Ovis aries: one gene and its partner. The protein of the gene in region 1 binds, or shares a complex with, the protein of each later gene. Links are inferred from orthologs where the notes say so. Each region holds a gene or a part of one and is shown in the gene's direction. Other genes may lie near its edges.

What was found.
Region 2: the proteins of PFN2 (region 1) and VASP are in contact, whole or in part, in a crystal structure (PDB 2V8C), measured with the Mus musculus proteins. The link is inferred for Ovis aries from reciprocal best matches to the Homo sapiens genes PFN2 and VASP. Residues at the interface, in NP_062283.1 of Mus musculus: Gly3, Trp4, Ser6, Tyr7, Asn10, Cys13, Tyr30, Trp32, Met131, Tyr134, Ser138, Phe140; in NP_033525.2 of Mus musculus: Gly165, Pro166, Pro167, Pro168, Pro169, Pro170, Gly171, Pro172, Pro173, Pro174, Pro175, Pro176.

What each region holds. Positions count from the first base shown.
Region 1 is NC_056054.1:238,933,108-238,937,518, forward strand, and holds the start of PFN2 (profilin-2), read left to right. Parts: upstream 1-1,401; 5' UTR 1,402-1,433; coding exon 1,434-1,565; intron 1,566-3,682; coding exon 3,683-3,979; 3' UTR 3,980-4,411. UniProt on the Homo sapiens protein: Binds to actin and affects the structure of the cytoskeleton. At high concentrations, profilin prevents the polymerization of actin, whereas it enhances it at low concentrations. By binding to PIP2, it inhibits the formation of IP3 and DG.
Region 2 is NC_056067.1:52,890,542-52,895,124, forward strand, and holds the start of VASP (vasodilator-stimulated phosphoprotein), read left to right. Parts: upstream 1-1,550; 5' UTR 1,551-1,845; coding exon 1,846-1,850; intron 1,851-4,583. UniProt on the Homo sapiens protein: Ena/VASP proteins are actin-associated proteins involved in a range of processes dependent on cytoskeleton remodeling and cell polarity such as axon guidance, lamellipodial and filopodial dynamics, platelet activation and cell migration.

The sequences.
Region 1 (4,411 bases):
CTGTGGAATCCTCCTTGTCACTAATTGTGACCTTACATGATAACTTTAAAATTGAAAATCAACTTTTTCAAAAACGCTTTGAGACGCTCTCTTCCCTTCACTGACAGATCGTTTAGTTCATTTAAAATCGAAATTGTGGGAAGTCTCCTAATCCTTTGCATAGTCATAACGCCCAGCGGTTACTAAAGACCACGCAATATTCACAGGGACTCTACCCATGTTTTACCACCTAAATACAAGCCATTCTCCGATCTGGGTCCCGAAATTAGTTTAGCTTTTGAGAGTAGAAATACTAACATGTTCATACAACGAACCCGTTCTTAGATTTTTAAATTCTTTATATATTCAGATTTCTTCGACCCACCAGTAATATTCCGTTACCAACCAATAGTTTTACATTGCTAGCTATTTGTTTCCTTCGGAATTTACGAGCAATTTAGCCGCTTTAAGACAGGGGAAGAGAGGATCTTCCTATCAAGGAACCCACACAATGAGAGGCCTTTGGTACCCAAATGAAGCAACAATGAAAGACCAGCAAAGCTCAGAAATGTTCCTGAAAGCCAAGAATGCCACTCTGATTTCAGATTGCTGGAGTGCGCCCGCCTGGTAGCCTTTGTGGCCGAGAGGTCCAGAGAAGAGGGTCCCACTGAGGATGCCTAAGATGACAGTGGCCGACTCTGCTACCCGCCCGCCGGGACCACAAAGAGGAGTTAACGCTCCGCATCCCGTCACCAGGGCAACTCTGCAATCCGACACCGAGGCGCAAGATTCCGCATCCCGAGCCGCCGGCCGCAGGACCGAGGCGTTTCACAGCCCGGACGCGGGGACTCCGAGGCTCCCCAGACGCCGCCGTCCCAGGGGTACTGAGTGCAACTCGAGAGACGCCCTCTCCGTAGGCCCGGGGTCCGAGGCTCAGCCACCCTCAACCACCCGCCTCACTCAGACCTCGCCGGCCGCACGTGGCGCCGTGATTGCCCCGGGCAGTATCCCTCCGCGGCCGCGCCCCCGCTCAGTCTCCCCCTCCCTTCTCGGGACCCTCAGAGTCAGGGCGCCGCGGAAGGATCGCACGCACGCGCGCGCGCACGCCCCGCCGGAACGGCGGAGAGCTAAGGGAGCCACAGTGAGGAGTAGTCTCCAGCGCCGTCGCCGGCACTGCCGCTCCGCAGCCTGCCGCCGCTAGTTAATCAGCCCCGCGGTCGCGGGCGGGAGGGCGGCCGGGCCGGGCGCGCTCCGCGGCTTGTCCCTCACCGCCGTCCCCGCGTCCTCCCTCCGCAGCTCCTCGGGGAGGGGGGCGGTCGGTGCTTGCGCAGAGCCGCCTCCTCTCCGCCCCCGCCCCGCCTCCCCCCGCGCCGCCGCCGCCCGCGACCGCCGCCGTCGCCGCCGCTGCGCCTGCTGCTCCTTGCCGTCCCCGCTGCAGTGCGAAGGGCTCGAAGATGGCCGGTTGGCAGAGCTACGTGGATAACCTGATGTGCGATGGCTGCTGCCAGGAGGCCGCCATTGTCGGCTACTGCGACGCCAAATACGTCTGGGCAGCCACGGCCGGGGGCGTCTTCCAGAGCATTACGGTGAGGACCGGCGGGGACCTGGGTACCCGGCCCCGGACCCATGCGGGGCCGGCCGTGGGGGCGCCGCAGCGCGGGGCCGGACTCGGGCAGGGCCGCGCCGGCAGGTGTGAGGAGCGGCGGGCGCCGAGGATGCGGCTACCGGGCGGGCGGAGAGGCCGAGGCCCGGGGACGCCCCCTCGCAGGGGCTGCGCTGAGTGGCGGGGGCGGCGGCCGGGCTCGCCGGCGTTCCCACAGCTTGTCCGGATGAGGCTGGGGGAGGGGGTACGCACCGGTTCGTGGGTGGGGGGCCTTTTCCCTTTTCTCGCCCCCGCCCTGGGGTCCCCTGGAAGCCCTGAGGTTTGCTTTGTACATTCCCGGGTGGAAGCGGGGACCGGAGGAGCCGGGCTGGGGCGCGGGTCCTCGGGTGGTCTAGCCGCCCCTAGCTCCTCCGGTGACGGCGCGCCGCCCGCGCCGCGAGCTGTGGGAGGCGGCGGCTGCCCGGCCCCCAGGATCCTCGCGGCCACTTGGCGTAGATTTGCCGGTGTCCAGGCCTCTTGGGCTTGCGAGAAATGAACGCAGACAACGTAGGTGGATTCGTGAATCTCTGGCTCCATAGGATTTTTTTTTTTTTTTTAATTCTCCAAGATGGCGATCTGCCATTGATTTCTTTCCTATGGAGATTCATCGATATACCGTTATCCCCAGTTACGCAACAGAGTTCTAAAAAAAGGGGGTGCTTGGGGCTTTCAATAATCTGCGAAGACCGAGGGGATGTTCAGTTCTCCAAGTCCCTCCCTCTTTAGTGATCTTCGTAAGGGAACTAATGCAGATTAATGCTTCCCGGTGCCTGATTTTCTTGTGACTTGGTGGTTTGACTCGGTTGCCACATGTTTGGGGAATAACTGTCAATAAGCCCTCCAGTGCTGCTTTATTGTTTTGCCTCTTTCTGCACAAGGGTCTAAAATGGTGACATTATATCAAATACAGGACCATTCTCTTAATTTCCTACGCTTCACGCCCCCTTCCTATCAAATGCCAAAATTCAGGCCCCTTTACTATGGGTGCTACTAATTATTCTTGTACTGCTTAACATGTTTAAGGTCTAACTGTGTAGAACTCCTGATCCAGGTACTTTCCGGCTCTCTGTTGCCGCAGTGGACTACAAATCTTACAGAGAATTGCCGTCTGGCGATCAACTTTTTTCCTGCAGTCCTCTTGTCTTTGTGTGTGAGTTCCCGCTGTTTGGCTGGGAAGATTGCGGGAGTGTGCTTGGAAATGGCTGGGGCCTGCTATGACTCTGCAGTTCTGATGGGGGCGACGCCTTCCTTCTTATTCATGGAATGTTAGAATGCACGTTTTCTCCTTTCCGGTTCTGGTCGCTACCTCAGTTTCTTTCCCACTCTCCCTCCATTTTCTCTGTTCTTTTATGGTTGCTTATTGCAGCGCTACAGACAGAATCCTCTTTGCATTTGCCCAGAAAGAAAACTGATTACTTAGGAGGGAGGGGAAGGAAAGTTGGAGAGGGAGTAGCAGCGAAAATAAAAGAGGAGGGAAATATGAATTTGGGGATGCGCTGAGATTCAGGGCTTGAAGTTCATACTAGGGGGGTATGTCAAGCTATTTGAAGCAGAGTAGATGTAACCAGATCTGCCAAGCATGGGCTTTGTTCCAGGAGACTTTCAAACAACTTTAAGTTTGATATGACAAGACTGTTACGTGATTGTGATAGGTAAGATTTTGTTGAAAGTTTCTGGGTGAATCTTTACCATTACATAAGCACTTCGGGTACCACCTGACTTGAAACAAGTTTATAAATAACTCTTAAGTTTGTAGTTTATCTAGTGTCATCTACTAACTGGAGATTCTTTGCATAGACTGGGCTTAGTTAACAGACCACTCTCTTAACTGTGAAATCTAACTGATATAAAATGTCATCCCGTTTAAGATTAAGTTATTTTTTAGAAATGACTGAAACTTGGTTTTACATTAATGAAATGTGGATGTCTTGTAGTGGTAGTACAAACTTGACACTTTTCCTGTTATACCAGGACAAGAAATTAACTAAAACTTTTTGTTTTGTTTTCTCTCTCTCTCTCTCTTTTTTTTTTTTTTTTTTTTGTGGTTGGGGGCGGGGGCAGCCAGTAGAAATAGATATGATTGTAGGAAAAGACCGGGAAGGTTTCTTTACCAATGGTTTGACTCTTGGTGCAAAGAAGTGCTCAGTGATCAGAGATAGCCTATACGTGGATGGTGACTGCACAATGGACATCCGGACAAAGAGTCAAGGTGGGGAGCCAACATACAACGTTGCCGTCGGCAGAGCTGGTAGAGGTGAGTACAGTACCCTTTTGGTTAATAGTTGCAAGTCACATTACAACTTATTCAGCAGTTTCTTTAACATTTTGAATAAAGTGTTAGTCCATAATGGCTATTAAGGTGGTTTTTGTGAACTGCCGAGCACTGAAGGAGGCACTGCTTTAGATTCATTTGCTCTACAGCAGCTGCATATACAGCCTCACCTCTGAGATCCTGACTTTATGCTGAAAATAGAATATTAATATCAGTTCTTCAGTTCCAGCTTTAGTAAACTGAAAGTCTAAATTTGTCTCTTCTGTATGTATAACTGAACCACTTTACACTTGAAATTAAGTTAATCAACTATAATATAAAGTAAAAAGTTAAAAAATAAAATCACTTTGTTCCTCAACTGCTAATTATTCAGATTGTTAAATCATTCAAATTGGTTATTTTAGTCCCTCTGGATTTTTGACTTTTGAATGTCTTCCTTTTCTTTCTTGCTCACATTTTAGTCATTCACTATTCAGCATAAAAAATGAAAAATTTCTATTGGCTTCCATTTCTATCAG
Region 2 (4,583 bases), on another chromosome or scaffold:
GACCCAGAGAGGAGAAAGGACTTGCCCATGGTCACAAAGAACCGGGGTTTTCAAGTCTGTCCCCAAACGACTCACAGCCTGAGACACACAGAGAGATAATTATAACCTACAGTGGATCAGGGTTTAAGGCTTTCCACTGTAGGGTAGGGGAGAAGGAAATGGCAACCCACTCCAGTATTCTTGCCTAGAGAATCCTATGGACGGAGGAGCCTTGGTGGGCTGCCATCTATGGGGTCCTACAGAGTCGGACACGACTGAAGCGACGTAGCAGCAGCAGTGTGGGGTAGAGAAGGGGAGAGGATTACTCAGTTCTTCAGAGAAGAATTAATATCAGAGACTGGCCTAGAAGAATGAGATAGAGATCAGGGTATCGTCCAGGCAGCAGGCTCCTTTAGGAAAAAGGTAGGAAGCTTGATTCCCTCATCAAGTCAGCTAGGCCCTGAGAATTGTTTTACTCTCATTAACCACTGGAGTCCTGGTGGCTCAGGCAAGAGGGCTCTAGCCCAGGTTTATTCCCTGCCTCTAGGCCTCAGTTTATCCATTTCTAAACTTCCAACTGATTTCCCAGACTCCTGCCCCCCAGGCCAGGTGGCGCTCTACAGGAGGGGCGTGGTCATATAGCTGGCGTCACGTGGGGGTGGAGTCTGCGGGTCCCGGTGCGGAAGCCGGGGAGGGTGTAGGGACTCAGCCTGAACCTGGCGCGTGGGGGAGGGGTCTCGCAGGAGTCGGCAGAGGGAGGGTCCCCCAACTCCGTGCCCTCGGATTGCTGCATGATCCCACCATCCTCCGCACGCGAAACTGAGTCACGGCGGGGCGTGCGTGGGTAGGGGGCCAGGAGCCTTATTCAGACAGGGATCGGGAGTCCCATTCCCACCCAGGTCCACTGCTGCACCACCCCCCCACCTCGCCCCACACACACACCCTGCGGTTGTGAGTCAGCGGCCGGCCGCGCCCACTTCCTCCTCACCTTCCCTGGGCGGGCGGGGGTGGGGGGCAACGAGAGAGGTGGGCCCCCTCCCCACCCATCCCCCTCCTCGGCGAGGGAGGTGGATCACCCCTTAGTGACCCCTCATAAATTGGGGAAGGAGGGAGACCTTGGGGTGGGGATGGGGGCGTCCCGAAGGTAGGATTTAAGGGAGAAAATCGGAGAAAATCTATTCTTGACCCGAGGGCCCTCCTCACCCCCCAAACTGAGTAGAATGTAAAGAAATGAAAAAAAGTCCATGAGGAGGTTGAGAAGAAATTGTACCCCACTGATATTCCCCTAAGAATTTCCATCGTGGGAGAGAACTCAGGATTAAGGAAGGATCCCTTCCTCTCTATCAAGCTTCCCCTCTAATTTGGGGGTGACCCCCAGAGTGCATCGCTGTGCAAAAATGTTGGGGAAGAGGGACATAGCGGAAGTCGAAGGTTCCGCGTTGCCCTTTTAAGCGCCCTCCACCAACTCCTCCCCAACCCCACCGCCTTAAGGTGTCCGCGGCCCCTTTAAGGCGCAGGGCATTGTGGGTGCGGGGAGTGGAATTTTGGAACGAAATGTAGCAAAGAGAAGTACAGTAGTAAGAGTAACATTGTAGCTGCTGCCGGCCGAGGGGGCGCGCCGGAGAGGGGACGCCGCACCCTCTTTCTGCCGCACGGACCCCTCGAGCAGAACCCCAGAGGGACGAGGCGCCCGAGGACCCGCCCCGGCCCTGTCCACGTTCCCCCCCAGGAAGCCGGACTCTATGGGGCGGGACCCTGGGGGAGACTGAGCAGAACCTAGAGCCAGCGCTGAATCTCTGAACCCCGAGCCAGGGGCGCCCCGGGAGCACCTAGCCCGTGGGCGCTCCGCCCGCCCGCCGAGCAGCCATGAGGTGAGCCTCCAACTGCCTCCAGACCGTTCCCTGGCCGGCGCGGGTTCCTGCCGCCCTGCCTTTGTCCCCTCCTCCCCCCAGCTTGGTCCCGGTTGGAATTTGGGGACTGGGCACTGGGAGCCTCGGATTTGAGGCCGAGCCCCCTTGGACAAGCTCCAAACACTGACCACTTCCCCTTGACTCTCAAGGCTTGGGTGATGCCGTGAGATTCTCCTGGGAGCCCTTAGGTTTGGGGGCGCTCCGAGGACTCCCGAAATTTTTAAGACTTTTCAGAGAACCTCCAAGTTGGCAAATAATCTCCGCAGAGAAGCTAGAGGTTAGGCAGGACTCAGACTGCCCCCAAATCTCAACCTGGCCCTGAGAGGGATTATGGGGGGCCTGCTTGGGAGTCCCCTGGGACCTGGAAGAGAGATTGAGACGTAGAGCTTGGTTTTCGGGGTCCCTCTATACATGGCGCTGGAAATTCTTCCCACGAGGGACTTTGCTCATTAACTTCGGGGGTACTTAACCCCTAAATTTGGGCGGTTCATCCCCCTGTGAAGGAGGTTGATGTGGACGGATCCAGGGACCCAGACGCAGCCTGGAGGGTCTGGTTGGGACTCCCGTTCCTCGCCGCTCCCCACCCACAATGTGCTTAAAACAGGCTGTGCCTAGGAGGGAGCGAGCGCTCTGTGCCGAGGGCGCCTCCCCGGCCCCGGACCGAAGGGCGGCCCCTCTCGCCCACCTGCGCGGCCCTGGAGAGGGAGGGGGCGCGGCAGCTGGGGGAAGGGGGGCCTTTGTCTAACTGACTCACCTGTCGAGACAGCTGGTGTGTGTGTGGGGGGCGGGGGGGCGGGCTGAGAGCGCCGTAGGCCGGCTGCTTTCCCCACCACCGTACCTCCCCCTCCTCTCAACACCGCCCCCCCTTACCCAGCCGTCCGGAGTTGTGCGGTTGGAGGAGGGGGGCGTTGGAAAACCTCAAGGTCATAGCCCTCTCCCCCTGGGACTCAAGCTTCCCAGAGAGTTCCAGCTATCTTCCCAGGAATTTAATCCTGGGTGGGGGGCCCAAGGGATCCAGGGATTTTGTTTTTCCCGGAGCCTCCCTCAAAACTCCTGGGCTCACCTGAGGGCGGAGCCGGTGCGGACTGGGGGACCCGACTGGCCCTCCCCCTCATTCTCCCATCCTCCCCGGCCCCCCATAATCTCTCCCTTGAGGCCTGAGCCTGACAATACTATCTCCCTTCCTCTACTCTCTCAGAGACTTCCTGCTCCAAAGCCCCCAGCTTGAGGGGGAGGCCCCTGGGGGGCCGCTGGGGATTAAGCCCCTGGGGCCCACATCCTCTCTCATCCGCCACATTCCCTGCCCTTTGACATCTGGGTGGCATTCCTTTTTGTGGTCGTTAGAGAATCCCCCCCTCCCACATTTGTTCCTTCTGCTGAAAAGGGATTGTTGGAGAATTTGGAGCGATGGGGGCACCCACAGACACCCACAAGACTTCCTGCCTACCCTTTCCCCCATTATAGCAACATCTCTAAAAGGTCTGCCCGGGAGATAGGGCAGTTTTGGGGAGCCAGCCCTCTTCCTTCACCTTCTTCCCGGGGGATTCTCCTCTCCCACTGCCCCCCCAGCCCCGCCCCTTGCGCGCTCCCCCCCCCCCCCCGTTTCCGGTCCCAGGCACGGTGGAAGGCGGATGGCGGATGTCCGAGTTAGTGCTGCCTCACTCACCGAGACCGTAAAAGGGCAGGAGCAATGTCTGGGCCAGCCTCCTGCCCCCGCCTCCCCCAGTCCCAGAGGCCCTGGCCCTCCCACAAGGCCCCCTGCTACTTCGAGCCATGACCAAACCTCCTGTATCTCCTGGGGGGTGGGCAGAAGTTAGCTGATGCCTGTCCCACCAGAGGGTTACTCCCATCTCCTGAAGGGTCTTCCCTGCTGATGGCCACACTGGCCTTGGGCTGTGCCCCTTCTCCCAGGACAGCTAGGATTCAGAATGACCCATGGCCCTGTCTAGTGGCTGCTGGGGAAACTGAGGGAGGCTCAAAGAGAGAAAAGCCTGGCCCAAGATACCTCAGAAATTTCTAAGCAGTGTTGAGGGATGGGAGGGCACTGGGATCCTCTGATTTCTGGCTGGTTAGGCTGGAGACAGTCTTGGGGACAGTTGGAAGAGAGGCTGTTAAGATGGAAAATTACAGTTCTTTTTTTTTTTTCTCAGTTTGACAAATATTTGTTGAGTGTCTGCTGTGTCCAGGACTCTGAGCTGGAATTCTGGGAAGTGGGGCAGAGATCTGAGACTCTTAGTGTAGAGGAGACTCTAGAAGAATTTGGTTCATTTATTATTGTTTTTAATAATGAGAGACCATTTGATTAAGCAACTCGTTTGTGCCAGGCACTGTACCAGGTGCCTGATTCAAATTAATCCTCATGGCAATTCTAAGAGATTGATACTATTATGATCGTCCCCCTTTCCCAGATGGGAAAATTGAGGCACCGGGGAATTAAGCAGATTACCTATTAAAGTCAGTTTGGAAGTAGGCAAGTCTGAATAGGAACCCAGGCCTATTATACTCTTAAAGAAAAGCAAAATCAAGCCTTTAGTGGCCTTAGAAAAAAACAAGTAACCTGTTTTTACTGTACAGACACTGAAGATAATGCTGATAAGCAAGAAGGAACCCAGTTACCTTCCTGTTCACTTATGGGGAATTGAGGCCTGTCAGGGAGGAGGGACTAGAGTGAACCCATACAAGCCCCACAGACCC